4 linked regions of the Drosophila melanogaster genome follow. The protein of the gene in region 4 purifies or fractionates together with the protein of the main gene of each other region. This does not show direct contact. Each region holds a gene or a part of one and is shown on either strand. Other genes may lie near its edges. The genes, in order: AGO2, Tdrd3, Su(var)3-9 and Rm62.

The links.
Region 1: the proteins of Rm62 (region 4) and AGO2 purify together in Drosophila melanogaster (affinity purification with western blotting; 2 studies listed by BioGRID, with this or other methods). This does not show direct contact.
Region 2: the proteins of Rm62 (region 4) and Tdrd3 purify together in Drosophila melanogaster (affinity purification with western blotting; one study listed by BioGRID). This does not show direct contact.
Region 3: the proteins of Rm62 (region 4) and Su(var)3-9 purify together in Drosophila melanogaster (affinity purification with western blotting; one study listed by BioGRID). This does not show direct contact.

Annotation. Positions count from the first base shown.
Region 1 is NT_037436.4:15,551,751-15,561,209, reverse strand, and holds AGO2 (argonaute 2), read right to left. Parts: upstream 7,098-9,459; 5' UTR 7,004-7,097; coding exon of another isoform or gene 6,988-7,003; 5' UTR 6,946-6,987; coding exon 6,738-6,945; intron 4,388-6,737; exon of another isoform or gene 4,361-4,387; coding exon 3,093-4,360; intron 2,961-3,092; coding exon 2,872-2,960; intron 2,817-2,871; coding exon 2,207-2,816; intron 2,111-2,206; coding exon 1,094-2,110; intron 1,003-1,093; coding exon 632-1,002; intron 570-631; coding exon 479-569; 3' UTR 168-478; downstream 1-167. Other genes in the region: CG7739 (uncharacterized protein), read left to right, coding at 1-124. UniProt on the Drosophila melanogaster protein: Essential for RNA interference (RNAi); double-stranded RNA induces potent and specific gene silencing.
Region 2 is NT_037436.4:14,784,971-14,792,009, forward strand, and holds Tdrd3 (tudor domain containing 3), read left to right. Parts: upstream 1-1,820; 5' UTR 1,821-1,876; coding exon 1,877-1,911; intron 1,912-1,963; coding exon 1,964-2,048; intron 2,049-2,122; coding exon 2,123-4,243; intron 4,244-4,348; coding exon 4,349-4,618; 3' UTR 4,619-4,695; downstream 4,696-7,039. Other genes in the region: bmm (brummer), read right to left, coding at 949-1,108.
Region 3 is NT_033777.3:15,258,498-15,266,218, reverse strand, and holds Su(var)3-9 (suppressor of variegation 3-9), read left to right. Parts: upstream 1-2,760; 5' UTR 2,761-2,871; coding exon 2,872-2,937; intron 2,938-3,281; exon of another isoform or gene 3,282-3,380; coding exon of another isoform or gene 3,381-3,422; intron 3,423-3,497; coding exon 3,498-3,672; intron 3,673-4,321; coding exon 4,322-5,988; 3' UTR 5,989-6,355; downstream 6,356-7,721. Other genes in the region: ATPsynO (ATP synthase, oligomycin sensitivity conferring protein), read right to left, coding at 1-292, 529-558; Set, read right to left, coding at 1,190-1,200, 1,264-1,614, 1,677-1,866, 2,275-2,532; eIF2gamma (eukaryotic translation initiation factor 2 subunit gamma), read left to right, coding at 2,872-2,937, 3,498-3,672, 6,533-6,769, 6,836-7,709. UniProt on the Drosophila melanogaster protein: Histone methyltransferase that specifically trimethylates 'Lys-9' of histone H3 using monomethylated H3 'Lys-9' as substrate.
Region 4 is NT_033777.3:6,004,234-6,010,803, forward strand, and holds the start of Rm62 (Rm62), read right to left. Parts: upstream 4,341-6,570; 5' UTR 4,238-4,340; coding exon 3,804-4,237; intron 3,496-3,803; exon of another isoform or gene 3,213-3,495; intron 1,882-3,212; exon of another isoform or gene 1,728-1,881; coding exon of another isoform or gene 1,717-1,727; intron 1,065-1,716; exon of another isoform or gene 984-1,064; coding exon of another isoform or gene 973-983; intron 894-972; coding exon 1-893. Other genes in the region: CG10280 (uncharacterized protein), read right to left, coding at 6,340-6,570. UniProt on the Drosophila melanogaster protein: As an RNA helicase, unwinds RNA and alters RNA structures through ATP binding and hydrolysis. Involved in multiple cellular processes, including pre-mRNA splicing, alternative splicing, rRNA processing and miRNA processing, as well as transcription regulation.

The sequences.
Region 1 (9,459 bases), on a different chromosome or scaffold from region 4:
GGCGCTGGGTGGCACCTGCCTGGTTATCGTCTTTATCATCCTTGTGCTATATATCAAGGAAAAGCGCGAGGATAAACAGGAACGCTTGCAGGAGTCTCACAGATTCCATTTCGATGCAATGTAAGGTGGTCGCCCCATTAAATGTAAATTAACTAATTAACACTTTTGATTCAACCCATAAGATGAGCTTTTAATTTTATTATTATATAATGTTGATTAATATTCCTAAAAGAAAGGAGCGCTCTATTAACTCCATTATAAGCTTTCCAACCATATTGATGTCCTAAAATGCCACAAACAAATTGATAAAAATGTAAAGTAGAACAATATTTGGCGGACCATCTCAAGGCGGCTTTTAAAATCATAGCTCATCATGGAATCAATAGAGATGCTCCTTTACATAATTTATATTTGTAATATGGTTTAAGAAATGTGATAATATAAAAAAGATAAAAAATAATAAGATTCAATACGTTGCTCAGACAAAGTACATGGGGTTTTTCTTCATGAATTCGGGGACAATCGTTCGCTTTGCGTACTCCTTCTTCAAATCCAGGAACCTGTTGGTGCTGTGACATTACAGAAAGAAATAAGTTCAATGTACGGGTAACGCTCACAAAGAATATCATACCCAGTCAGATAAACGCGTCCACGAGCAGCTACCAAATGGGCTAAATAGGCCGGAGCCGGATAAGAAACCGAGCGATTGCAACGAGGGAACATGTGGCACAGGTTGTAGGTCAACTGCTGCAACAAGTCGATGTCAAGATTGCCTGTGTTCTCAATCACATTGTATCGTGTTGGCTTGGCCGTGCCCTGGATGGCCTGGTGGCTGACCATGAAGAACTGCATCTCGTTAGGATGCACAATGGTGCGATCGACCACGGTTCCGGGGTCCACGTTGTTGAACTTGTTCGATGTCGTTACGTCGCCGCTGGGAAAGAAGCGAGTGTGATGACGCTTCACCACAATCACGCAGCAAATCTTGGGTTTACAGCCCACCTGTATATAATAATATAATAATTAACTCATAGCTAGTAACTGGTAATTTCATTTCATGTTAAATAAATAGTGAGGAAATTCAAAAACTTACCTTGTCACAGGCTTGTTTAATACACCTCAGTTCCTCGTTTTTGATTTTCGGAAACTGGCCGTCGCTCACGCCATCTCGGTAGTAGATGATATGATCAGGATAGGCGTTACGGTACTCTTTATACACGCGCAAGTGCTCCAAAGTAATCGAGAACATGTCCTCAATCTCCTCCAGAGCCCCTCGCTGCAAACGATATTGCATGTTATAACTGGCTCCGTAGGGATCGTGTGAGGCTGCTACTCCGACCACACTGGGAATCTCGCGCTGATCGGGAGAGGGATGGGTCACATCGGCTCCAATGTACATGGTGTTCTTCATCATCGGCAGACGAGGATCATCCTTGATCTTGTGGTTGATGCCGTTCAGCTTGGAGTTGATCTTAAGTAGAATATTTCCAATCGTCTGATTATTACACTTTCGTTCCACGGTGAACTGCTTAATGCATTGCGTCAAAATTCCATGCTGCAGCTCGGCCTTCTGCTTAATTGTATCGTAAGAAATTCTAAACTGAGGAATAATCACAATTGCCAGATCGTGCTGGCTGCGCTTCAGATCCGCGAAAATAGTGTCTAGGCTGCGTTCGTCATCCGTGAACGGTCTGTATGTCACATCAGAATCCAAGCTTATGTTGACTGCCTTGCCTTGGGATATTATTAGGTTCCCGAAGTCATTCAGCTGGGTATAGTTCATTTTGCGACCACTCCTCGGATCGCAATACAAGACCGCACACTTGTGCGCCTTGGGCTTGGGCTCCAGAAACTTCATGCCATCCATGCGCCACGACCCGTTCTTCACCATAGTAAACCTCTTACTATGATATTCAACCTGAGGTGGGCTTAGGACGCGGGTGCTTACCACAATAAAATCGTTGGCAATGCGGATGCCAAAGCGACTGATGGTCGGATCCAGGTTGTGCTGGAAGTATTGCAGCAAGTTCATAATCTTGCGCTTTCGCACGTTCGTCGATGTGGCTGCGTACTTTATCATATTGGCCACCTGAGTTGCTCCATCCTTGCGCTGTGAAATACATATGTTTATAGGTATATGTAATGACAATATAGCTTACGGTATTGAACACCAAGATATAGATATAAAGGAATTTAGTGAACTCACGTTTAGGGCCTGACCTTCCTCGATGCTGCATAGCTCGATGGGCAGCAGAATACTCTTGATTGAAGATCCAACGTTCAGACAATGGAGTTGGGGAAACTTCAATGGGTAGTTGCGACTGTGGAAGTAGGACGCAATGGTGACCTTCTTCCCATCGTGTTCGAAGGTCTCACTGCTGGCCGGGGCACGAGAAAGACCATTTACACGGTATACCCTTGGAGCGCTTTGAAACGACTGAGGAGGCGTGTAAACCACATTAATGCCTCTGAGGAATGGCTCAAGGAAGCGTCGCGAATAATCTAAATTCGTTGTATTGTTGATTTTAGCCTTTAAGCTAAATCGCTCCAAATATTCGATCATCGGCATTGAAATCGGAAAGGATTTGTGCGATATATCTACATTTAAAAATGGCCTATCGCCCAGCATAAATGCCTGATACAGACCGACCAGGGCCTCGTATCCATCATCCAGTTCGTGACGATTATTAGGATCGGACATCTTAAAGAAGGAACGACCGACACGGATGGCTTTGTTGTGGCAGGGTGAAGCCAAAACAACCTCCACGCACTGCATTGCTCGCATGGGCTTGTCGAAAATTCGGTCATTCATATAACTGCAGAGGAGCGCGTTCAATAGGAGTATCCATAAAAAACATAATTTATATTTACGTAGTTAACGATTTAAGGTCAATGGTCGAGTCACCAGTCTCCTTGATTTCGATCGTGTAGCGCAAAGTACGACCATTACGATCTGTCACCTAAAATAATAAGAAATAAAAACAACTAAAATATCGTATAGATTAAATTAAATTTAACTGCCACTGTATACATTTAAAAATGTTATTACTCCCAGTTGTTCATAACTTAGTAGACAATTTCTTGCAACTTACAGTCACTTCCGGATTTTGGCTATTTAACGGCAGCTTATCCACCGAGTAGCAAGAGGCTTTGCCATCATAGGCAAGAACTGCTCCGCCCAATTGGTCCACCCGAAATTGTTCAAATGCCTGTCTGTAAAACTTTTTGGGACGCTCTGGCATGATCTTCACGTCATAGTGGTATGCCACAGAAGGCATTTTGGACAGGTCAAGGTCCAGATAGTTGATGCCTACTTGCCCGGGTTTGCCGATTGTTCCGCGCTTAATGCTCCCGGCTGGCTGAGGCGGTAATGGTAATGGGGCAGCCTGCTGTTGCTGAGGTGGTCCACGAGATTGGTATTGGCCTTGGCTCTGGGTTTGGTTTGGTTGTTGTCCAGGCGGACGCTGTTGGTAGCCACCTTCTTGCCCTTGTCGTCCTTGCTGATGGCCACCTTGTTGTTGTCCAGACGGACGCTGTTGGTAGCCACCTTCTTGCCCTTGTCGTCCTTGCTGATGGCCACCTTGTTGTTGTCCAGACGGACGCTGTTGGTAGCCACCTTCTTGCCCTTGTCGTCCTTGCTGATGGCCACCTTGTTGTTGTCCAGACGGACGCTGTTGGTAGCCACCTTCTTGCCCTTGTCGTCCTTGCTCATGGCCACCTTGTTGTTGTCCAGGCGGACGCTGTTGGTAGCCACCTTCTTGCCCTTGTCGTCCTTGCTGATGGCCACCTTGTTGTTGTCCAGGCGGACGCTGTTGGTAGCCACCTTCTTGCCCTTGTCGTCCTTGCTGATGGCCACCTTGTTGTTGTCCAGACGGACGCTGTTGGTAGCCACCTTCTTGCCCTTGTCGTCCTTGCTGATGGCCACCTTGTTGTTGTCCAGGCGGACGCTGTTGGTAGCCACCTTCTTGCCCTTGTCGTCCTTGCTGATGGCCACCTTGTTGTTGTCCAGACGGACGCTGTTGGTAGCCACCTTCTTGCCCTTGTCGTCCTTGCTGATGGCCACCTTGTTGTTGTCCAGGCGGACGCTGTTGGTAGCCACCTTCTTGCCCTTGTCGTCCTTGCTGATGGCCACCTTGTTGTTGTCCAGGCGGACGCTGTTGGTAGCCACCGTCTTGCCCTTGTCGTCCTTGCTGATGGCCACCTTGTTGACCTTGTTTAGTCCACCCTTGTACCTGCTGTTTGCCTTGTTTTTTCTGTGCAGTCCATCCTTCTGCGTCTTGGGATTTTTGCTGTTGGCCTCCTTGCTGGAACCCAGATGCACGGGATCCGCCTGAGCTTGTGGATGGCTGTTGTCTCGAACCTAGATTTAGAAATCGACAAAGAATGTTTATTACAATAGGTGTTAGGTTTCGAAAAAACTGCAAGCAAACTCTTCGAAAAGTATTCACTTGGCTGATTTGAATTTGCTAACGCGAAAATAATTTGTATCACTTTAAAATACATACAGTTTGTCAAGAAACTGTTTACACACTGTGAAATAAGTTGAATTTTTGATTTTAAAGCTAAAAATAAAGGGTTTTTTGCTTAATTAAACGCAATTTTTTTATAAAATATAATTAAACAATATTAATTTTACTTATAAATCAAAAAACAAATTAAAAATATTAAATATACAAGAAAATAAACAACAAATTCCAAGTTTACACACTTTTGAGACTGTCAAGAAACTCTTTACACAAAACACTAAATCGAAGTTTAATCCTAAATTTTTTAATTATTTTATTAAAATTTTAAAAGTTTTGGTATGTAGTATGTTCCCCATTGGCTTTAGCTACAAGTTGAAGCCTTTTTTTCATGGATTGGACAAGTTTTTGCAGGTCATATTCAAACGGGATCTTTTCACACTCTTCGACTATTACAGTCATAAGCTGTTGTTGTGTTTTAGGTCCCTTTTTGCCACCTTCTTCTTTAAGTAGGTCCACAAATTTTCAATGGGGTTCAGATCAGGACTCTGAGGGGGCGTATCGATCACTTTACCACAGTTATTAAGGCGCCAGGTGCGTACATTGCACTCTTTATGTTTCTGATCATGTCCTGGTAAAACTTAAAATTTGGCTTGTTGTTGCTAACCAGACTAATTTTTTCTACACTGGCCTTCAAATTTGTTTTTTAACATTTCTAGATATTGCACGGCATTTATTGTGCTCTCAATTAAGGCTAGTTTTCCCACTCCACGGCTGGTGATACAGCCCCACATCATCAGTGACATTTTTCCAAATTTTATCGTTGGAATGATATTTTGTTTTTCTAGCGCACTCAACGGTTTGCGCCATACTCTGCTTGGCCCGTCGTTATAAAAGAGCATCATTTTTGTTTCGTCACAAAATATGACGTCATCCCAGTACTCTTCCGCATGATCCATCATGCTCACAGCGAATTAATGACGCTTTTCCATATTGGCATCTGATAGCAAAGGGTTTTTCCTTGCAAATCTTGAAGAGTACCTATGGCGTAGGATGACTTGGCGCACAGTTTCGTGTGACACAGTTAGGTGGCATTCTTGCCTGATATCCAGAGCAAGTGATCTGACCGAGATTCGGGGGTTCGCAATCACTATTCGCATAATAAAGCGGTCTACACGCTTTTTAATTTTAATTTTCCGTCCACCACCACTCTTAGGTTCAAGCCTGCCCTCTTTTTCCGAGCCTTTTAAAACATTGTAGACGGTCTTACGGGATACAGGAAACATTTATACTAATTCTGGAAAAGATTTTCCCAACTGGTGGTTATAGTTTATTAATTGGGTAACTTCAAAAGTTAATCTCTTTCCAGGCATTTTATTAAATTTAATAATTCGCTTTAAGCACGTTTGATCAGCAAAATTTCACAAGCAAAGTCAACAAATTTCAATAGAAGCGTTGTAAAAAGCAATGCGAAGCCAAAAATAACGGAAAAATCGAGTTCGTTCTAAGAAAAAGAACAAAACAAAGTAGGAAAACAAAATGTGTAAAGAGTTTCTTGACAGTCTCAAAAGTGTGTAAACCTGGAATTTGTTGTTTATTTTCTTGTATATTTAATATTTTTAATTTGTTTTTTATTTATAAGTAAAATAAATATTGTTTAATTATATTTTATAAAAAAATTGCGTTTAATTAAGCAAAAAACCCTTTATTTTTAGCTTTAAAGTCAAAAATTCAACTTATTTCACAGTGTGTAAACAGTTTCTTGACAAACTGTATGTACATAACCTTAAATGTAAAGATATATTGATGTCAAATGTTCAATTTCGCTTCATCTTTCAGATTTTTAATAAGTTTATAATTGAGTTAAAATGTCGGATCTGGTATAAATTAAGATTAAGATTTACAGATTTGAGCAGATTTTAATTCTTAATTGTTTGATGCTTCTGCCTAAAGCACAACTGTTACATTTCATAGCAAAATTCATTTTTTTAAATATAAAGGAATTTTAATTTAGTTATGTTAAGGGGAAATTCAATAACTGTTATATACAGTAGAATTCACCTTTAAGTATAATACACACATACATAGGTTCTATACAACCATGGCAGTTGAATTTCATCATGGCTGCCACGAATTCGGGAATTCCCAGGCATTTCGAAAGTTTATGGAGCATTTGATTGCAAATGGTAAATCCATATGTACAAAACATATGTATGTACATGCATGCATACATCTATTTTTTGCCTACGCCGATATATCGCACTTTGCACTTACTTTGTTGTTGTTGCTGATGCGGTTGTTGTTGTTGCTGCTGCTGTGGTTGTTGCAGCTGCTGTGGTTGTTGCAGCTGCTGTGGTTGTTGCAGCTGCTGTGGTTGTTGCTGCCGTTGTTGTTGTTGCTTTTGCTGCTGCTGGGGCTGTGGTGCTGCAGCGCTATCCTGTCCTCCTTTCTTGTTCTCTGGGGTGGTAATTGGAAAGTGCATATATTTGAATAGCTGTATGGTCCTGCAGGTGGGACAACTCACTATCTTTTTTTCCCATGATTTACTTTTGAGGGTTTCGAGTTAACTGACGACTTTTAATAGACGATTTTTTAATGCGTCACAGTCTTTTTTAGTGATGGGAGGCCTTAGGGGTGGGCGATAAGTTATTGAGCGGCACAGCTAAAGTGTTTTCTGTTATCGATTATTGATAGGAACATACGGACTAGGCGGGCCATTCAAGTGGGGACTCTATTTATATTTGTATATTTTTATACATGTTTTGTATACATGTTGCTTGTTGAGTCAAATGTATGCTATATTCGTTGAAAAGCATGTATCCGGCAAAAGAAACCGATTTCGACCTAATAAATTATATATATTATAATATATTATATATATTATATATATAAGGACCAATAGCCGAGTCGATCTAGCCATGTCCGTCTTTCCGTCCATCTGTCAGTCCGTACGAACGTCGAGATCTCAGGATGAATAAGAAGCTAGAAAATTGAGATTACGGAAAGCCCCCAAAACTTCCCACGCACATTTTCAAAATGTTTTGACATTTTTCATATTTTTATTAGTCTTGTAAATTTCCATCGATCTGCCAAAAAACTTTAAATTGCCACGCCCACAGTTATGCAAAATGTGATATTTTTCATATTTTGATTAGTCTTGTAAATTTCTATTGATCTGCCAAACTACTATTACTCCCACAAACCGCCGAAAAGCCACGCTTACAATTTTTAACAATTTTAATTTTTTTTCTTATTTTATTCACCAATATCTAATTTGCGTTCGCATTTCCAATAGTTGAGTAACTGGCATCTGATTATCGGGGAAGTTTAAAATAGGAAAAAAATTTTAATTTACTAGTTTTTTTTTTTAAATTTTATTTTGGAAGAAGACATCAGTAAGAATCAATAAATTTAATCACCACTGCTAGAAAGCATTATTTTTATTTTTCCGCCTTTAAGTGAAAAATAGTTTTACATTCCAGAAAAAGTATTGTTTTTCCATAGATAATAAATAAATAAAAGACCCAGATTCCTGCTGTTTGTATGGTTGTTTGAATTTTATTTGGAATTGCACTTTTACTTTTGCCAAATTACAGCAACCAATCATAAAAGTTTTACAATTTTTTTTGATGTATTTTCTTGTTTTGTTTGTTTTTTCCATTTTCAACGTTAAACATACAATATATGCGTTTAAAATGCTATAGCCAAAAAATAGTAAATAGTCGTACATTATTCATACTTGTATATATAAATATATCATAATGTATATTTCATGTTGTCTTTAATTTGTTTGTTTAACGCTTTATTAATAAAATTTTGTTTGTCATTGCACGAGCGTTTTGTTTTTCAACATCGATTTCTGATTTTCGTATTTTTACTAAATATCTTTCTTTTAAAAATTTTCTAACAATTGCACAACTTCGCCCGCTTGATTTATACACACATGCACAGACATACGTAGAAATAGCTAAATTATATTTTATAGATACATATTATCGAGTTGATAGGAAATCAACGGGTTACGCTTGAAATTTCCGTTAAGTAATTTTGTGTTTATAAATTCAACTAATAAAAACTAGAATGACTCATTTAGAACGCTGCGAAAAGAATACAAAAATATCTGTATAAATATGTATGTATGCCAAAAAATTGCACTAAAACGTAAAACACAAATTGTAAACATAAAAAACAAAATAATTGCTGCGAAATTTGATTAAATTGGGTTATACTCTCAAAATATCCCTTCGGTCAGTGCAGCGCCGTCTTATAAAATAAAACTTAACAAACAATAATTCATTTTCATAATTGGCTCGGAAATTGTTTTAAATTGGCCAGGCAACGCGGCAGGTGGAGAACGCAACCGAATTGGGGATACGGATACAGATACGGATATGGATACGGATGCAGATACGGATACGGATACCCATTATAAATTCGTATGCTTTCCATCTATTGAAACTCCAACTTGACGCCCGCTGGCGAACAGATGATGAAGAGAAACTTAAATGCTGCACATAGACATAGTTCGTTACATAATCCACCTATATAGCTACATTATGGAATTGTTTAGGTATTTTATCTCGTCGTCAGCTTTCGTTATTCGTTTTGAGAAATATCGTTTAAAGGAACAATAGTCATGCCAAAGACAGCACAGAGATTGAGCTCCGGGAGTCTTTCGTTAATTCATTCATTCAATCATTATTAAAACATAATGTACATGTCGCCTCCAACTGTCGGCTCAACTCCAATCTGGATTTCATATACAATCAGAGCCTATTTGCGATCGGCTTTCTTTCTATCATTCTATCGTTCTTTCATTATTATTATTATTTTTTTTTTTTGTTGTTGTCGTTAACTTTTTCATTACTTTGCTGTTTTTTTACGTTTTTGTTTTTGGTCTGTTGATTTCGTTTAATTACAATATTATTATTTAGCTTCTCTTTAGACGCTTTCTGGATTTCTGGCTTCTGCATTTGAGCTTCTCGTATTTGTAATT
Region 2 (7,039 bases), on a different chromosome or scaffold from region 4:
CTGACGCAAATTAACTTTAATCAATTCGCAAAAGAAATCGCAATTCTAAATCACAAGGCCAGTTTAATCTATTTAATTTAATATTGGCAATTGAAGATAAGATATGCTGTGAGTGATTTTATCTTCAATTTAGATTTATAAAGTTTCTGGCTAATCTCATAGCATAAGTATTTAGTTTATTCTCTTTGCAAAAGTATTTGATGAAATGTTTTCGGACTGCGTTGCTATTCATATACCCACCGCTGTGCCCAACCATTTGCCCATATATTCGGGTGCCGCTTTACAAAAGTGCGTTGTCCCGGGCATACGAAACTTGTTTTTCTGTTTTCGTAAGGTTTTTCAACTGCGCCGCAGTTTTCTTTTGAGCGGATGGGACGAGCCCCCTTCGAAATTGGACAAACACGCCCAAAAACACACACACACTATCGCAGTCAATTATGAAAGATCCCCATTGACTTCCTAGCGACCTACAAACGCAAACAAGCTTATCAATAAAATTCAATTCAATGCGTTTTATATTGAGCCTCGCAGCATCTTTCGCGCTCTCCCACTCCCACTCGCTCTCTTTCTCACTCCCACTCACAGAGTCACTGAACTGCCCAGTGTGGTTGCTTTTGCACTCAGCTGTTTTGCGAACGCAAGTGTGAGTGTGTTCGTGTGTGTGCATTCTGCACGAAGAGGGGAGAGCAGTAGAGAAAACACCAGAGGGGTGCAGAAAATATTCACAGGGGTTTTCCCAAGCAGAAAACATTGTGCAAAGGCCAAGTTCAGACGCGGAGTGTGAAAAGAAACAAGAAACTTAACAAATTAAGATTTATGCAAAGCAAAATAAAAAATTTATTTTTGTTTCGCCTTGGAGAATCGCTATCATATAGTTGGCAGATCTTAATGATTCCGAAAGCTTCCCTCTCTAGACCCACCCATGTAAGCAAGTGGGAAGAGACTTACCCAATGGCAAATCGCAGAGGAGACAGCAGGCGGCCAGGGAACCGGCCGAAGCGCCTCCGATCTTCTCCAGCAACAGATGCGGTGCATACTTCTTGAAGCAGACGGCCACTCCGACGTGGTAGATGCCCAGGAATCCGCAGCCAGCGAATGATAGATTCATGCTTTGGACTCGGCGTTAGATTCTATAAATCGTTCGATGACTGTTTGTTGTTGTTGCTACTGCGTCACTGGTTTTTTCTCTCTTTAAGGTATTTTCTCGCACTTTCTTCGCGGATTTTAGTCGTTGCAGCTCCTTTGATGTAACAATTTCTTGTCGCGTTTCGAAATAAATCTCGTTTGGGTTTTCAATCACTGTTTGTCGGTCGGCTGGAAAAATTACTCCGCTCTCGAAATGAAAAGTTGTTGCTCGCGAACCGTTATTTACTCGCTCTGCGGATGGCAGCCCCCTTTTATACATTCATTGCGGCGCGGTGTGACCGCATTTTATTCGCTTTACCACCTAAACTAGAACTGTCATTAGAGTGGCTGTGCGTATAGGGTACTCTTTTGTTTGTTCTAAACATGTAGATATTACGACTTTAAATCGATTTATAATGCCAATTCTTTATAACTGATAAAATTTAATTATCGATATATAAGTACATCTATCAAAAATATATATGCTAGTATATGTGTTGCACCCAATTTTGACATTATCTCTTGGGACATAATATATATATTATATTTAATTTGAATAAGTGTGCAAGAAATATTAAAATTTTTAGATTTTAAGAAAGCATTTAATATTACTAAACAACCTAAACTTAAACGATAATAGTATGCACCGTCAGCCGATAGTTGCCGCCAAGCACATCACTAGCGAGTACACACATCTAATACTTTTGTCATCCCTAGTCCGGAGTTGCAAAAAAATCGTCTTCATGAAAAAATGGAATTAGGCAAGAAACTACGAGAAGTCGGGTGGTAAGTACAATTTTAAATTGTGGCATACAATGCTTCTTAACGATTTACGCAGGTACCTGACAGAGGAGGGCCTTAAAATCGTGACAACAGCCGTCGGCAGCGAGGATGTCCGGAAAATAGTCAATGATGCACTGAATGTGAGTTGTAGGCGAACCGGCTGCTCAGCATTCTGTGTAATTATTAATTATAACCTATTACTCACACTTTGCAGCGAGATCTGCGCGATATTGGCGGTGGCGCACTGCCCGCGAAACGCGAAGATGCCACTTTGCCCGGTAAAATTGTGCTGCAGGTTCAGCGTGTGCGAAATATTGCCGCTCCCAAGGCGAATGAGGAATCGAAGGCGGCGCCACGCCTCCTTCAGTTGGATCTGAGTGATGGGCAGAATTCCATAAAGGCCTTGGAGCTGGAGCCAGTTCCCCAACTGAATCTCAATGTGGCTCCCGGAAGCAAGATCTATTTCAAGGCCGAGAAACTGCAGCTTATGCAGGGATTCCTGCTGCTAAAGTCCAGTGAAATTCAGCTGCTCGGCGGCCGTGTGGATGCACTCTACGAGAAATGGGATCTGGCCAGGACCATGATGAGATATGCGCGCAGTGGGCGCCCCTTGAATGGGACATCAGCGCCACCCCCGTGGGTGGCATTTGGCCGAAAAATCGATAGCAACGCCGAAAGCGAAATGAACTTTAAGAGCCTGGGCGAGGGCGACAAGGACAAGCCGGCAAAGGAGAACGAAGAGTTCAATGCCATGCGCACAGAGGCCATTGCCGTGGCCACCAAGGCCGGCGGCAAGAAGATCTTTGGCGGCGGTGGCCAGAACATTATCGATCACAATGTTAAGAAGATCCTAGACAAGGGCTTCAGCGAGGAGGAGGCCCGCAGTGCCTTATCTGCTACCCGAAACAACTTGGAGCGCGCCCTATACAATCTAAAAAGACGCAGTGAAGCTGGCGGTGTGGGTCCGATCGAATCCGTGGGTCGTCCGGGACGCGGAGATCGTCCGCCCAGAGAGGGAAAGCGTGGAGCTAGCGCCAAGGACGAAGTTGAAGCACCCAAGCCGGCTGCCAACACCACGCTGTTTGATTTCCTAACCAATAAACTGCCCGCCAAGGAAACACCGGCCGCTAGTAATGCAGAAACCTTCGCTGCCGCTCCAACTGCCGCTCCGACTGCCCCACCCACTACCAATCACTTCAATCCATTTAAGCAATATGGAAGCTCGCGCTTCAGCGATTCCGAGAGCAAACCTTCAGCTATGGGCGGAGGCGGCAAGTTTGCAGATCGTTCTAGGTTTGAGAACAACGTATCGAGCAGCTTTGCCGCACATCGTGGTGGACATGTGGGTTCGTCGCGAGGCGGTGGCCGTAACCGGGGTGGCGGCAGGGACGAAAGGCCACCAAGAGAGGAGCGAGCCTACAGGGAAGACAGGCCTCCGAGGGAAGAAAAACCGCCGAAAGAGGAGAGACCACCGCGAGAGCGAGGAGCGTTCAATGATCGTGCAGCTGGACGTTACAAACCAGAAACGCCAACCGTAAAAACCGCAAATCGCAATGGCTCGGATAACGTATCGTTGAAACCGAATTCCGAGATTAAGCCAGATCATGAAACAACCAATGGGAAGGACCACACTGGCAACCGACGTGGCAGCGAACGAGGCAGCAATCGTGGAGGCTCCAATCGAGCAGAGAACGGCAACGCCAATGGCAACAGACGAAACAAGCCGGCAGCAAGCTTAACTTCGGCGAGTTCTGCAGCGAAATCGACAAATAGTGCTGGCGATGATTTCAACGCCCGTTTGAGTAAGATAACCGAGGAAACAGCTAATCTCAAGGTGAGCAGTGCGCCAAAGCGAGAGAATCGACGTAAGCAAGGAGGACAAGCCAATCGCCTGGCGGGATCGGGCACAGAAACAACGCAGCAGCAGCAGCCAGCACAGTTGCATTCGCAGAAGCCAGAGAAGGCTCAAACCAACCAAAAGCATCACAATCCCAGGCACAATTCGCAGGCGAACTACAGTCAATTGGCGAATGGCTACACTTACGATCCCAGCAAGATCATGGGTTTCCAGAGCAAGGAGGCCAACGAGTTTGCCATGAACCTTCTAAAGAGCCAGGGTGTTACACTGCCCAACGAAAAACAACAGGAGGAGGAACAGCAGGAATCGCCACCCATGTCCTTTGGCCCCGTTTCCGCTCCTGTTTCCCGTGCGCAACCTGCTCCAGTGGCTGTGCCACAGGCTGCGCCACGGGATCAGTTCGGCATGGTGCCAGGCGATGCGTGGATGTGGCAGAAGGGCGACTTGTGCATGGCCAAGTATTGGGACGATGGAAGGGTGAGTTTAGGTCGATAAACTGAAAGTACATTCGTAATTGTAGTAGGACAAAGTATTCAAATTGATCTATTGAACTTAACTTATCATTCCTTCTTTATTTTCCAGTATTATGAGGCTGAGATCACGGGCGTGTCGGAGAAAACTTGCGTGGTCTTCTTTATGGGCTATGGAAACCATGAGGAGGTATTGAAGGTCGACATCCTGCCCATCACCGATGCCCAAAACAGGCCACTGAGCAACTCAGCGCAGCAGCAGCAACCGCATCTGCAGCAACAGCAACCGCATCTACAGCAGCAGCAACATTCACGCTACCGCGGAGATCGTCAGACGCAGCAGCAGCAAGTCTACGTGCCGCCCCACAAACGAGAGCATTGAGACAACATGGTAACAGCCTGTTAACAACGTATTTAAATCAATTAACATGTTTCGAATAAACAACTTTACAGAATATTAAAACTATGAGTACGTATTTTGTAATCTGCTGACTTTCATATAATTTAAAGCGTACTGTTGATTACGTCTTACCTATTAAGTGAATATATCTCCTATAACGTGAAAAATTGAATTAAGCAAAGTTTTATTTAATAATTTAGTAATTAACATTTCTTTGTAAACATTATTCGAATTCGATTAATTCCTGGCGCAGTACTATCGATTGTCCCTGATTTCTGCGCGACATGTTCAGCACTATTTCGCGCCGCTGCTCAGCACTGGTGCATTTCGCGAATTTTCCCTCATACATACATAACTTATTTTTAACATTTTTCGACGTGATGTGCATTTTCTCTCATAGTTTTGTGCTTAACCATGTAAAATAGAATTAGTCCGTAGTGTACAAACAATAGGATTTAGTGCAAAGGTAACGCAAAAAGAGTGCAAAAGCCCGAAATGTACGCACAAATTGGCCAGCAAGTGTACAGCTGGCTGGCTGACTTGCCATAAACGCGCTGGAAAGGGTTCAGCGCAGTAAATTTTGCTTGCTGAGCATGCAAAACGATTAACGAGCCGTATAAATAACTGACTAATCAGATAAAAGTGCAATGCGGTCATATGCATGTATTGTGCGCATATATTTTCATATGATGGCAAAATCATCGTGTAGTACATGCGCCAGTGTTGTCAAGTTCGCATGCGGTGTTGCAAAGCGACGGTTGTCGATATTCGTGCAATGTTTTGTGCCGATTTTATTGAGCAATTAACATGGCATTAAAATAAACGAAATTAAATTATTATTGCCCGTCATTAAATGTGTTGCATGTGTCACTTCTTAAATACTGGAAAATATGATTGATCCCACCATTCATTTCCACATGCGATACTCGGCGAGTGCCTTGCGAAGTTGGCCAACACTGGCGACTGTCTGCTGTTTTCAGCACGTAAAAAGAAAAATGGTAAAATAAATCCTTCTCGATTCTCGGGCTTGGTGCAAATTTACAATTAAATACGCTTCAACCATAACCAGCCACATAAACCGTAGACTAACATCGGAAAATTCGTGAAAAGTGCCTTTGTTTAGCCTGCAAACAACTGAAAAGACAACGTCAGGCAAAGAAAATCCGGCCATGTATATAAAAAAGCCAAGAAAAATCAACATTACGCTCAAAACTTCTGGAATTTGCATTTGATCGCCAACTGCGCTCGCAATTTACTGATAAATAATACCCATTTATTGTCGCATATAAATAAAAACCGCACAACAACAAAACGCACGCATACACGCAGCGAAAAAAGTAGCAGGAAAAATAAAAGAGAGCAAGCACCTCTACCAAAAAAAAAAGCAGAAAAATAATAAGAAACAACTTGAAAATTACTTTTAATTATGCTGGCGAATTTTCTCGTTCTGTGCAAGTGTTTTCCACCGGATTCTCCTCCCCCCGAGATGCCACCCTCCTCCGAGTTTTCCGTCCCCCTTTTGTGCCGGTGCGAGTGTGAAAATTGCTCTTATGAAATTTTGCGTAACCGAATTAGAATGAAAATTGTGTAAATCGAAAAATAAAGACACAGCACTTTGGATTGTTTATCATACATATGTACATATATACATATATATTCTTAGTTGCAGGCGCACTCTATAAATCCGTCTGTATATTTGTACTAAGTACACACAATTGTTTGGGAACCGATAAGAAGCGAGATATAAACAATTTCTGTTTTGGATTTAGCGAACATTACTGGCAGTCAACGAAGATGATTTAATCAATTCTTCAATATCCAAATAATTATCCGTACAAACAAGCCGGTCTTTAAAGTAATCTAAAATGTGAAATCGCCAATAGGAAAATTCAGGACTAGAATACTTAAGATGTGAAATTGTGTGCAAATTTCAAGAACACAACGGTAATTATAAACATTAAAGATTACAACATACATTAATGTATAGTACTATTATAAACCAAAGACAATAAATGTGCTTTATTGAAATAACTAAGTGAAAGTAAACTCTACATGAGAAATAACTACTTAAAAACATAAATACGAAAGAAAACAACACGTGCTCTATAAAACCAAAAATATAACATAATATAACATAACATTAATAACATAACCAAATCTAAAAACATTACACTCAACCAATTCACAATAAAAACATAAATAAGCCGTATATCCGCCATACGAACATGAAAATAAAAACTAAAACCAAACATCTTTCTTTACAGTAAACATAATGCCCGCAAAGTATCTAAAACATTAATGTAAAAACGATAATCGATTTCTTATTATTAACCACACAAAAACTGTTAAATTGTGTAAGTATAAATTCACTGAATAAAATGATCAAGAATACAAGAATACAAC
Region 3 (7,721 bases), 9.3 Mb from region 4:
GCAGACCCAACAGATTGACGGTGGCCGGGGCGAAGCGGAGCTTCTCGGATGCCTCCTTCAGAGCGGTGGCCATGACCTTCTTGTTGATGATGGGGCTGGTCACGTACTCGCGCAGCTTCTTGTCGCTACGGATGGTGGCCTGCAGGGCCGTCAGATCCTTCTCCACCTGATCCAACTGGCTCAACTTGGAGGCAGCCGAATACAGGGCGGTAGCATAGCGACCCTCCAGACCGAACACCTGCACTGGTGGCTTCACCGTCGCCTGGGCGGCAGCGGAGCTGAGGGTGCGGCTCTGCGGGATAAGCAAACAAGAGCACTTGGTAAGTTTTTCGGCTTATTAAACATAAACTACCCGCGGTTCGTGGGTTAAGATGGGCAAAAATTACATAACCAAGAAACGCGCGTTAGATAATTCTACATATGCGACAGCGGGTTGCAAACGCAATAAAAATTTGACATGCACTTAAAATGGCTTGGCATTGACCGGAGCTTGTTCACTTTTTTCTATTTATTCGCATTATAACATACCAAAAGTGCCAATTTGTTAATAGAGGCCATCGTTTTTATCCCGACAATTTTTCAGCTAAAAATCTCAGCTGTGACCAGGGCTACGTTACTTGCTACTCGACGTGTGGCAGGGTTGTTTTGAATGGCGTAAGGGTTGCAGGACAGTTATCGATTACAAAAAATAGCTAGATTTTAAGATTTATACTAGCTAGTTAAATAAAAGCGAATTTTCATTTTAAAAATGATATTCTGACTTTAAAGTAATTCTTAAAGGATATATTAAAAGATAGGTATTTCTGGGTACCCAAAATCTACCTTAATAGTAACACCTCTAATTTGCTATTAAATAATTAATTAATTAATAAATATTAATTAATAAAGTAATAAATTATTTTATAAACATCGAATTGAATACTTTGGTAATTCTTTACTTACATAAAAAGACACGGCTTGAGATTCGATTTACGTCTTTTTATTTGTTTTAAATTAATTTAATGGTGATTCTCATTTTCTGCTGCTCTTTAATGGATGTATGACTTTTGCTTATTTCGAAACCTAAATATGTCCTTAAATCGTTGCGAATATGTAAATGTTGCATAACCATCGGGAAAACTATAGTTGCCAGTGGTTATAAACAATGTGGGCCTTCGGTTGCGAGCGATTTGAAATTGCATTAATCAGTTTACTTGTCATCTAAAATGGTTGGTTAGGTGGTTAGTAAATTCCTTCTGTTCAAAAGGCACTCCATTAGCTTACCCTCATCCTCTTCCTCTTCCTCGCCTTCTCCATCCTCACCGTCCTCGTCGTCAAATGCCTCCTCATCATTATCTTCGTTGTCCTCCTCGTCCTCGGGCTCCACCTCGATATCAGGTACCAGATAATACTGCAGTGGATTTGGCCAAAGGTCGTCTTTTATCAGTTCTGCGATCTCGTCGTTGACGGGATCGGTGTTATCCGAGAACCAATCGAAGAAGGTTTTGTATTCGGAGTTGCGCTTCTTCTTGTTTCCGTACGGCTTTGTCAGCAAAAGTTTTAGCAGGTTCTTTCCCTCCTTCCATTTGATGGGCGTGCTGGTAGACGCGGGCCAGTCTCCGTTCTCGGAAGCAGCTTTAATTGAAATAGTAATGGGTTAGCTAAGCGGATTTGAATCAATCGTTGGGAGAACTTACCCGCTGAATTCAGGTGGAACTCTTTGGTGAGCACCTTGTTTTCGAAGTAAGGATTCTCGTCGAAATGGAAGTTGATGCGGTAACCCGATTTGATGTCCTCAAACTCCTCAACCTCAAGTTTGTTGAGCGCGTGCAGGCACTCCTCCTCCTCCTCGTCCAGAATGCCGGATACTTGCGGGTGGTTGATAAACTGCAAATATGGCAGTTGGGATTAGCTAGGGGATGCATGCTATCAAGCAGAAAGCCATGTTTATGGCCCCTATGGCACTACTTTTCTTTTCAATTATGGCAGCAAATATTTCAGTGGTTTTTGATTTGAAGCCATTTTGAACTGTGCTATGTTGTGTATTTCCCGGCCAGACGGATATATCGATAGCACGATTTTTCCGGGAGGGGGAAAATGCGCGGGGAGCCGGTGGTGTCGGCATTGCAGCCCAAAGATGAACAAGAAAAAATGCCTCGAATAGAGAAAATTTCTTGTACATGTGTGCAGCGATTACCATCACTTCAGGGCTTCGAAAGATCTAGTCGGCTCCACTAGAACCCATCAGACGAACACGCGGAGGGGACAAACATGGCCGCGGATCGAAGTACTCACCGAGGTCACCCAAAAGTTGGGGATGCGCTTGACCAGCTCGCTGCGCTTCTCGTAGCAGGGCTTCCGCAGCTTGTTGTACTTCTGCTCCACCTTGAGGATCTCCTCGCTGGCCTTCTCGTTCAGCGCATCGATCTCGTTCTGGCAGGCATCAATTTGCTCCAACGCCTCCGACTCCTCCTCGTTGTTACCGGCGGCGGCGGATGTGTTGCCATCGGCGGGGGCGCCGTCCAGCTTGGCTCGCTTTGGCACGCTCGACATTCTGCACGCTCTTCCGTTGTGTGTACGCTCGTAATTCCCGAGATATTTGAACAAAAAGCGGCGGTACAGTTGAGCAGAAGAGAAGCGAAGCGGATTTTTAACCTTTCGTTTGCGGCTGAAGAACTGTAAGTGTATCGATAGGGCGGCACTCTATCGATACGCATCGCAGTTGGGCACCGGTGTGACGTGTCCAACACTGGCCAACCATGATTAGAGCACTATCGATAGGCATTGTCGGGTCCAATCGTTCTTCGATATCGAGATTTGATGCCGAGCTGTAATAGCTGAAAATTATTATTTTCATTTTGCATACGCATCGTTTTTGAAAACATCAGCAACATGGCCACGGCTGAAGCCCAGATCGGTGTGAACAGGAACTTGCAGAAGCAGGACCTCAGCAACTTGGTAAGCAGCCAGCAAAGACGACCGCCAGACGCCGCCTTCCCTTTTTTTCCGCCCGTGTGTGAAAGTATACGCGTCGTCATTATGGAGCCGCTTCCCGGAAAAACAGCGGGGTGCGGGTCGCAAGGACGCGCCCAGATTGTCTCGAACGGTTCGCGGACCAATTTCGAGGGATATACCAGTGGGTTTCGCCAGGGCCAGCAGTGATTTGTTGTGGGTGAGAGATCACGGTGAAAATGCAGCACGTGGCGCTACATTTAGGGTCTGTTTGGTTTATCCCGCAACTTTGGCTCTGCATATGGGCATGATGCGGACTCTGGCGGTATTTGGGCTCTGGCAAGCAGATCAGTTTCGCGAGGACTACCTGACTGTTGTCATCAATTTTGAGTTGATGCAATTCAAGCGACATTCTAACCTCAAAATTGACGGCTTTCCTATATACACACATGCATCTGAGAGGGGATGTTTTGTTAGGGGGTGTGGCGGCGGTAAACAAGACTTGTGCTCTGATTTTCCTCTATTAAAGCGCCTTTATTTATCGTATTGCATTTGGAATCTTGCAGGACGTCTCTAAACTAACGCCTCTATCACCGGAGGTCATCTCCCGACAGGCGACCATCAACATCGGCACCATCGGTCATGTGGCTCACGGCAAATCCACGGTGGTCAAAGCCATATCCGGCGTGCAGACTGTGCGCTTCAAGAACGAACTGGAGCGCAACATCACAATCAAGCTGGGTGAGTCAGGGATCCGTGTAAGCTAGCCTAAGCATATAATCTTAAGATGTATTATTCTACTTGATAATAATTTAGCCGTATGTTAATTCTTCCTGCTCGCCCGTAAACCCCGTAGTGCCCTAAGATTGTAAACCTTCTCGGCTGGCCGAAAATAACCCATAATTATCTTAAGAACCACTTTTTAACACCGTATCGCGACGGCACACCGCGTAGCCAACTCTGTCGCTGCTTTACATCGAGATAATGTTGTAAAAGGGTTCTGCGAATGATTGTCTCTTGTAATTCGAATTCTTGTGTATTTTGTTAACTTAAATTGCTGGATTAGCACGCGTTGCCTTGTGTCGTCGCCTAAGTAGTCTAAAATGATAAAAGAAGTTGTCTTTAGAATGTTGTACTTTACAAAGCTGAATTAAAAAGCGTTCCCAAAGATTGGTATTAAGCATATCTTCCTGTTAGCTTAGTCTTGAATCTGTTACATTGATTGATACGACTGATCCAGCAATTTAATTAATTGCCAATCTTTTTCTTCTTTTTCCCTATTTCTCTTGTTTTTACGATTTTTTCGGTTGCGACGCGTCCGCCAAATAAAAAAAAAAACACACCAAACCCATCATCCAATCCACAATTGTCCAAAACTTGTCATTTGCAGAACGCTTGAGCGAAAAAAAAATCAAAAATCTTTTGACCTCCAAGCAGCAGCGACAGCAGTATGAAATCAAACAGCGTTCAATGCTGCGCCACCTGGCCGAATTGCGGCGACATAGCCGATTCCGCCGCCTCTGCACCAAGCCAGCTTCGTCTTCCATGCCAGCATCCACCTCCAGTGTAGATAGACGCACCACCCGGCGAAGCACCAGTCAGACCTCACTGAGTCCAAGCAATAGTAGCGGCTATGGCAGCGTTTTTGGCTGCGAGGAACATGATGTGGACAAAATACCCAGTCTCAACGGATTCGCCAAACTGAAGCGTCGACGCAGCAGTTGTGTGGGCGCCCCAACTCCCAACTCCAAGCGGTCGAAAAATAACATGGGAGTAATTGCCAAAAGGCCGCCCAAAGGAGAGTACGTTGTGGAGCGTATTGAATGCGTCGAGATGGATCAATATCAGCCAGTCTTCTTCGTCAAATGGCTGGGATACCATGATAGCGAGAACACCTGGGAAAGTCTTGCCAACGTGGCCGACTGCGCCGAAATGGAGAAGTTTGTGGAGCGGCATCAGCAGCTCTACGAGATATACATAGCCAAGATAACCACTGAGCTTGAGAAGCAGCTGGAGGCATTGCCACTAATGGAGAACATTACGGTGGCCGAAGTAGACGCCTATGAGCCACTCAATCTGCAGATCGATCTTATACTGCTCGCCCAATATCGCGCTGCTGGCAGTCGAAGCCAAAGGGAACCGCAGAAAATTGGAGAACGAGCCCTGAAAAGCATGCAAATCAAGCGGGCCCAATTTGTACGACGCAAGCAGTTGGCTGATCTAGCATTGTTCGAGAAGCGCATGAATCATGTGGAGAAACCGTCACCGCCAATACGTGTTGAGAACAACATTGATCTGGACACCATAGACAGCAATTTCATGTACATACATGATAACATAATCGGCAAGGATGTGCCCAAGCCGGAAGCGGGGATTGTGGGCTGTAAGTGCACTGAAGACACAGAGGAGTGTACTGCCTCTACGAAGTGTTGTGCCCGCTTCGCCGGCGAGCTGTTCGCCTACGAGCGAAGCACACGGCGCTTGCGCCTTCGTCCCGGAAGTGCCATCTATGAGTGCAATAGCCGCTGCTCGTGCGATTCAAGCTGCTCCAACCGTCTGGTGCAGCACGGACGCCAGGTACCGTTGGTGCTGTTTAAGACCGCCAACGGCAGCGGATGGGGGGTGCGAGCCGCAACTGCCTTGCGTAAGGGTGAATTTGTGTGCGAGTACATTGGAGAGATCATCACCAGCGATGAGGCAAATGAGCGCGGCAAGGCGTATGACGACAATGGGAGGACATATCTGTTCGACTTGGATTACAACACAGCTCAGGATAGCGAGTACACTATCGATGCAGCTAACTATGGCAACATCTCGCACTTTATCAATCACTCTTGCGATCCTAATCTCGCCGTGTTCCCCTGTTGGATCGAGCACCTGAATGTCGCGCTGCCGCACCTCGTGTTCTTCACACTGCGTCCAATCAAGGCGGGCGAGGAGTTGAGCTTCGACTACATTCGCGCGGACAACGAAGATGTGCCCTACGAGAACCTCTCGACAGCTGTGCGTGTCGAGTGCCGCTGCGGAGCTGATAATTGCAGAAAGGTCCTCTTTTGAATGGACTTGAAGTACTATATTTAAATGGCACGCCGTTACCCACCTGAGACATCATTGCATTGAACCTTTTTTTTTTTTGTTAACATATATATATATTACTAGTTGGATTTTATATTCCGACGTTTTAATTATTTATTTGTTAATAAATGCTAATATCGATATATTGGATCTATATTATGTTTGAGGATCTATATTACTAGAGGATAAAACGAGTAATTCTATATAGTTTGTACTTGTATACATTTCATAAACTTAAATTTTAATTTAGTAATAACTTAGTGTTTTGACAAACAACCTTGTAATGTGCTGAAATTATTACCGCATTAAGTGCAAATTATTATTTTACAATAAATATTTTACGATTATTAAGTGATGTTTGTTTGTGGCTGTATAAATGATCTGGAAGGATCAAAGAAATGAATTTAGTTAGCAATAGCACTTAATTCCTTGTGAAGAACGAAGGATTATTTTACGTGTTTGCCAGGCCAGGAGTTCGAAGAATGTATTGTAATATTCTTCATAATTATTATCGCATTGCTTTTAGGTTATGCCAACGCCAAAATCTACAAGTGTGACAACCCCAAGTGCCCGCGCCCGGCCAGCTTCGTATCGGATGCATCCAGCAAGGACGACAGCTTGCCCTGCACTCGGCTCAACTGCTCCGGCAACTTCAGACTGGTGCGACATGTGAGCTTCGTGGATTGCCCCGGTCACGACATTCTTATGGCTACCATGTTGAACGGTGCTGCTGTGATGGACGCTGCTCTGCTGCTCATTGCTGGTGAGTAACCCTGGATCTCTCTGAACCGACAAAAGATATACAAATTACTACCTATTCCATGTGCAGGCAATGAATCCTGTCCACAACCGCAAACCTCTGAGCATTTGGCCGCCATTGAGATTATGAAGCTGAAACAGATTCTGATCTTGCAAAACAAGATCGATCTGATCAAGGAGAGCCAGGCGAAAGAGCAGTACGAGGAGATCACCAAATTCGTCCAGGGCACCGTAGCTGAGGGCGCTCCGATCATTCCGATCTCGGCCCAGCTTAAGTACAACATCGATGTGCTCTGCGAGTACATTGTGAACAAGATACCAGTGCCGCCGCGTGACTTCAATGCCCCGCCCCGTCTGATCGTCATCCGATCCTTCGACGTGAACAAGCCAGGCTGTGAGGTGGCAGACCTTAAGGGCGGTGTGGCCGGTGGCTCCATTCTGAGCGGCGTGCTGAAGGTAGGCCAAGAGATCGAGGTGCGTCCGGGCGTTGTGACCAAGGATAGCGATGGCAACATCACCTGCCGTCCAATCTTCTCCCGTATCGTCTCGCTCTTCGCCGAACAGAATGAGCTGCAGTACGCCGTGCCCGGCGGTCTGATTGGTGTGGGCACCAAGATCGATCCTACGCTGTGCCGTGCCGATCGTTTGGTCGGTCAGGTGCTAGGCGCCGTTGGCCAGCTGCCGGACATCTACCAGGAGCTGGAAATCTCGTATTACCTGCTGCGTCGCCTTCTCGGCGTCCGTACCGATGGTGACAAGAAGGGAGCGCGCGTTGAGAAGCTGCAGAAGAACGAAATCCTGTTGGTTAATATCGGATCCCTCAGCACTGGTGGCCGCATCTCGGCCACCAAAGGTGATTTGGCCAAGATCGTTCTTACGACGCCTGTGTGCACGGAGAAGGGCGAGAAGATTGCACTCAGCAGACGTGTGGAGAACCATTGGCGGTGAGTATACAG
Region 4 (6,570 bases):
TGTCTAACATGCGATCGGCCTCGTCCAGCACCAAGTAGGTGCAACGCTTCAGGTTAGTAGAGCCGGCGGAGAGGAAATCAATAAGACGTCCGGGTGTGGCAATGACGATCTCGCAGCCGCGCTGCAGATCCCGCATTTGGCCGCCCTTCGGGGCGCCGCCGAAGACGCAGGTGTTGCGAACATACGACGAGGAACCGAATTCGGTGGCCACCTGCTGGATCTGTTGGGCCAGCTCCCGAGTGGGGGCCAGCACGAGGGCGATAGGTCCGTCGCCCCTCTGCAGCGGCTGCTGGTTGTTGATGTGGACAATAGCGGGCAGGATGTAGCCCAGGGTCTTTCCGGATCCCGTCTTGGCAATGCCGACGAAGTTCGAGCCACTCATGGCGATAGGCCAGCCCTGCGCTTGGATAGCGGTGGGGGCCTTGTAGCCCTGTCGGCGGATCTCCTTCATGACGTAGTCGGGCAGATGGACCTCGGAGAAGTCCTGGATGGGGTTCGGCACCTGTCCGCGCACGGTGATCTCCTGCTCTTCGCGATACCTCTGAACTTCGTAGGGCGATCGGTTTGCTACGTTAGGGTGCTCCTGGTAAAAGTTCTTCTTGAAGGGAGCCAGGTTGGAGAAGTCGACCGGACGCATGGGGAGGTCTTGGCTGCCGCCGCCACCTCCTCCTCGGCGATCCCCGAATCCACCACCACCTCCAAATCGGTTGCCGCCTCCGCGGTCATCGCGTCGCTTCTCGACGCGTCCATTCCTTATGCCGTGGTAATCGCCACCGCCACCGCCGCCACCGAAGCGATTGCCTCCGCCGCCGCCTCCTCGCCGATCATCGCCGCCTCGATCGCCTCCGCGACCGCCACGTCCACTGTGACCAAAGTCGCGATCGTGTGGTGCCCTGGGAAATAATAAAGGAAGATCGATGAGTATCTAAGTATGCAAAATAGAAACGGAATGCTCAAGAAAAGAAATCTCACATCATCATCATCTTGCAGCTTATTTGAACTTAAGGTAGTAGTTTGCAGTTTCTTGTACTGGTTTGATCTTTGACCACCAATTTATCTTGATGCTGTTTTATTCGAGATAAAAAAAATTAAATTAGTGGCATTACAAGTGTTTTTCCCATTAACTTGATAAATTAAAAATTCACGCGTACCCTGTGTGCCTTTTTGTATTGTAATTTATTCTAGATAACTTTGGCAAAATTAATGGTTGCGATGGTAATTGGCTTTGGTAAAGGCAAATGAGATTAAAGTAATTTAATTCTAATATGCTTATCTTGCATTGCCGAAGTTTACTTAGTGTCAAGTATCAAGGGCCTTTTCCTTATTCATGGAAATTGAACGACTTCACGACTTGTTATTTCGCTGCCGTGAATTCAGTGGAATCTTTAAGAAAATATCCCACTTTGAGCTTTGTAACCGAATTTCGCTGAAGTTGATATAGTTTGATAGTTTTCTCACAAACTTTTTAATTTCGCGTTGTACATTTGTATAATCAATTCCTCCTTATCTGCCATCTAAAATAATTTTGCGCTGCACACACATTACCCAGAAACTGTGTGTCATAAATTTTCCCTTGATAAAAGGGACCTTCGAGAATTAAACCATGCTTAACTGGAATCATTTTTTCCGGCTCGGCGTAGACAGCTGCACTTTCTTTTCTTAAGTATTTCTTTGACAGAAAATTGAGGAAAAAAAGAAACGAGTGACTTGGCTTACTTTGCTCGCATGCTGCCGTTTCTAGACGTCTGCCAGTTGGGACTTGGATTTCAACTGCGACTTGGCTTGGAAGGTAAGTCTTCGCTTTTCGATTTCTTTCGACGCTGCTAAACAGCTGACATGGGAGTTGTGCTGTGCTACAACCGCAATAAACTTAAATAAAAACTAATTGCGTGTTAGGGAAATTAAATAAATTTCGAATAATGCAAACAGTAAGGCAAATTTGATTGACAACAACATGCAATTCGAGCAGGGTTTCTATTCACAGCCCACCCTCCCACCAATTTTTCACCCCAGTTTATCAGCCCCTAAATGCTCAACTAAACTAAACAGCCCCATGTACAAAGCCCTGCGTTTATTGCTCTGGCATTAATCAACCTGGCGCAGTTCTAGTTCCAGTCAGAACTGGCGAAGGTACCGACCTATATATGTTAGCACTTTGCAATAATTAGGGAAAAATAATATTAACTCTGCGGAGTGTATATACAATGTGGTAATAAATATAGTGCAAGATTAAGTTGGATGGTAAAGTTGTATAAAACAAAATTTACAACATAAATTATGTTTATTGTGTTACGAACTAACTTCTATAAATTTCCACTTTATATTCGCTTTACTTCGTATGTAAGCTCCATTTTCGTGATCCTAGTGGGCATCACTATGGGGTGCACCATGCAAATCACCCACGATCCAGGCCCACGTTTTTTTTTGTCTATTACTCTGTCAATTTGGAACACCGTACCGCCCTAAACGTCTATTTGTAGGACCCACTGGCACGCTAACGTTTGTGCCCAACTAGCGAAGCGGAACGCTCTGAACATTTATGAGACAGCCAAATGTCTTGCCCCTAGTTTCAACGGTGGGCAAACACCCGAGGGGAGGAGGGGACAGTCCCTGGGGGCACCTTTGACTTTCTGTGTGTCTACCTGTCGCTTTTTGACATGCGAAAAGACGAATCGCGCGCTCGCCAAAGGGGGAGCTCATAATCAATTGGCGTCATTTGACATTTTAGACTAATGGGGCCGTTTATGTGATGGCGTAGTTCACGAACTGGGTTACTATTACCATTTAATATTTGGTTGTTACTTGAGTTTTTATCAATACTATAGTATAACTTTCTAATAAATAATTTTTATTGCATAACAAGCATGGTTCATGATAAGTAAACACAAAAAGAGCGTAGCAAAATAGATAAAATGATCGATAAAATGCATTTTTGATAATCTGTAAGTTAAATGTGTTTGCATGGAACCTTTACTTATAGTGTAGAGAAAATTTTAAGAGAATAACCCTACTTTTCCCTAAAATTGTCCTCAGTATACAGAATTATACTGAAATTATATATTTCAATGTACGCATTAGATAACCAAACGAAGCAAACCATTAACCCCATTCACTTCCCAAATTAAGCATAGTAAGTATAAATCTATGTCGGGATGGTTACATCAAATTATAAAATTGCCAATACCAAAAACATCGCGATATCTCTACAAAACCTCGTGTGAGCCATGGAAAGAATGTGATGGAAAGGCATGCTGGCGAGTGAGCAGGACGGCGCTAGTCAGTGACAGCCGCCGACTGTTATACGCTCGCACACACTGTTCGAACTGTTCTACGAGCACGAGAAAATGCCGCCGTCAACAGGCATTCACGCATACAAGCAAGTCCGTATGTGCCGCTGTGTGAGTGCGCGTGTTCATGTTCGGGGCATACAGACAAATTAAAACGCTATAAAATAGCAAACGAAGCAAGAACACGTTTCACAAATCAGGCAAATTCTTTTTATGACGTGCGCTGTCGTTCTTGTTGCTTTTGCTACTCCTTTGCGGATGTGCGGGGGCAAACACAAAGAAAAAAACAACAAATGGCTGAAAACCTCACCTCCGACTGACAAAATTTAGCAAACCATGTGTTTTTCTCTCTCTCCCCAAACTCTCTCTTTCGCTCACACTAATTACTCATCACCTCGCTTCGTAGGTGTACAGAAAAAAAAAAAAAAAAAGAGGAATGGCACGAAGGGTGATAAAATGGCGACAGTGAGTGGAAAAAACCAACGCATTTCATATGAAATCTTGCGGCGTACTCACATTACTCCTTCAATTTTGATTTCCTCAGTTCTTTCGTCGGGATCGTTGAAAAGCGATTTCCTCGTCCTCGTCCGCTGCTCTGCTTTCGGGATGGAATCTACGTAGTCGTCTGAATCTGGTTTCGAGCTGTCTCGAAACGCACGCTGCGACTGAGCTTGGAGACTACTATATGTGCTTGGGAACAGTATTGTCTCACGATTCCTGCGACTCCCGTGGAACTGTTGTCGTTGTTCGGTGCAGAGCGAAGAAGAAGAAGCGAAAGTGCCGCTGCTGCTGGCGGAGGAGAAAAGAAAATGGCGACGTTGCGTTATACATTTCTCGGAGCTCGCGCCACTTCTCGGGGAAATCAATAGCAAGTTGCCCCAGCCGCAGGCAGTCGGTCGGGGCGTGGCGCCGCCCACCCGGGGGGCTATGTATTGCACAAGCTTAAGCATTTTCCCGAAGACTTAGCTTCAATGCGGTTATGCTAATGACGGATTTATCCTACGCAGCGCGGCATCCGCGCGTGTCTTACCTAACCTCGTCCAAAATTAGAGTGACCCTAGATGGAGGGGAAAAATCGGTCGAGAAGTTGGTGTGACCGCAGCGGGCTCGCATGAAAACGTCTATTAGAGTGACCACCTGGTTGCTATCGATAATCAGCTGAACGCGGTGTATTTACTTGCCCGCTAAGTTTTTAATATTTAAGATTCTGCTGAAACGAACTTTAAATATATCTCGTCGTCGGTCCGTACTCCTAATATTCGGAAATGTCTTAAATTTCCTAGCTATCGATAATCAGCTGAACGCGGTGTATTTACTTGCCCGCTAAGTTTTTAATATTTAAGATTCTGCTGAAACGAACTTTAAATGTATCTCGTCGTCGGTCCGTACTCCTAATATTCGGAAATGTCTTAAATTTCCTAGCCTACCAAAACGTAGTCTGTGCGGAGATTAGTAAATATACCTTAACAAATATAAGCATAAAACAACTTTCTGTGTTGAGCATTTAGCAAAGACTCACCCCATTTGTGGTTTATTTAACATTTTCAATTAATACAAATTTTTTGAAATCTACCAAAAGCGCAAATCTCGCATCATTTTTACTAATATTTTAAAGAATTAAAATAAGGTTGGCTCAATATTCTGAAAGGAAAAATATATCCTATTATTTATAAGAAAATATAATATTGTACAACACACAGAATTTTCATCATTAATTTCAAAATTTCATAGAACTTGCTTGTTGACCATTTCAAGTCTATAAAAAGTAATACTTATTAAAGAAATCTTATAATTTACACATAATTTTATTGCTTACATCTAAAAAATGAGTCTGAAAGAAATCGAAAATTTCACTCGAGTTTTAGCGAATTAAATTGAAAGAATCATAGTTATGATTGGAAATAGCTAAATATAGATATTATGCTGGAAAATAAAATGGCATCTATGGAGGATTAAGTAGCCACATATATTAACACCAGTAAAGAATGCACTTATTTTTCAAAATGCCAAAAATTGAAATTTACGGCACTTTAATGAAAATGAGTATCTGTAAGCTCTTACAAATTTACCAACTACCTCACTGTACTTTATTTAAATATCTTACCACGAACTATCGTATATCGTAATTGTACTGTAAAGGCCATGGTCAATCGGTTTTAAAATTCGGAGAGAACCCTCTCCAAAAGGTGGAGTTGCTGTGTGACATTTTTAACAAATCAATTGATAAAGACAAAAATAGCAGATAACACGTAGCCACCCAAACATCCAGTTCATATGTCCTTCTTCAGTACTAAAATTCCCTGCCGCACTTTTCCTTGGGAGTGTTCAAAAATACAAGAATAAATGTTACAGCCTTCTTCTAGCAAAGTTTCGAACACTGAATTTGCATTTGATTGTAGAACGTGTCAAGTGGATTTTGCTCAATTTCTTAAAGTGAAATATGAAAAACCGGTAAGTAATACGTTTCTTATTAATAATTTTATAAATAAATATATCTAATTGCATTACGAACTATTTTAGTGAAGTTAACAATAAAAACAGATTATATTCAATTTCGTTTTTATACGAAGCATGTTGCAAAGATGACTAAAGATCCCGGGTGTTCTCAGGTATGTTATAATTTTATCCTCCTTTGGGGTATGGAAATATATAAGTGTGATCACCAAGTGACCGCATTAGCAAGCAGTAAAGGCACTGCTTTATCTAGCAGTGTTATACAGGTGCATATGAGATGGCAATACTTTAAACCACGTCTATCTCTGCTAAGTTAAGCAAAATATTTCTATGACACTTGCGCATGTGGCAAGATCAAACCTTTTAGTGATCAAGAAAATTCGTATGCATGCCCACACATTTCTATCTATCTCTTAAATTTTCATAATTGAACCTAGTATACCCGGACCTGCAAGTAATGGATATGTTTAGTTAGTTTGGTGGGTGGGTCAGCCAAGAATGAATATGTATAAGGGTCTACGCATTATTTTATTAAAGTTTATTAAATATCAAATCAATGTGATTCATAACAAATATCCCAGTCTAGGTCCACGTCCACTTACAACCCGAGAAGGTGGCAGAAACTGCGGTACATCTTGGCCCTGCGGCCCTGCAAGCAGCCGTACAGCTCGTTGATCTTGAGGCAGTCGATCTTGCTGATGGTCTTTCGCTGCCCGATCCTAACTCCAGGTTGTAGAGGGGTCATGGTGGGCTTCTCACCCTTCCGCTTGCTGAAGTAAAACTCGCCGTAGTGCATCACGGAGTTGTAGTCGTAGTCGAAGGCGTACTT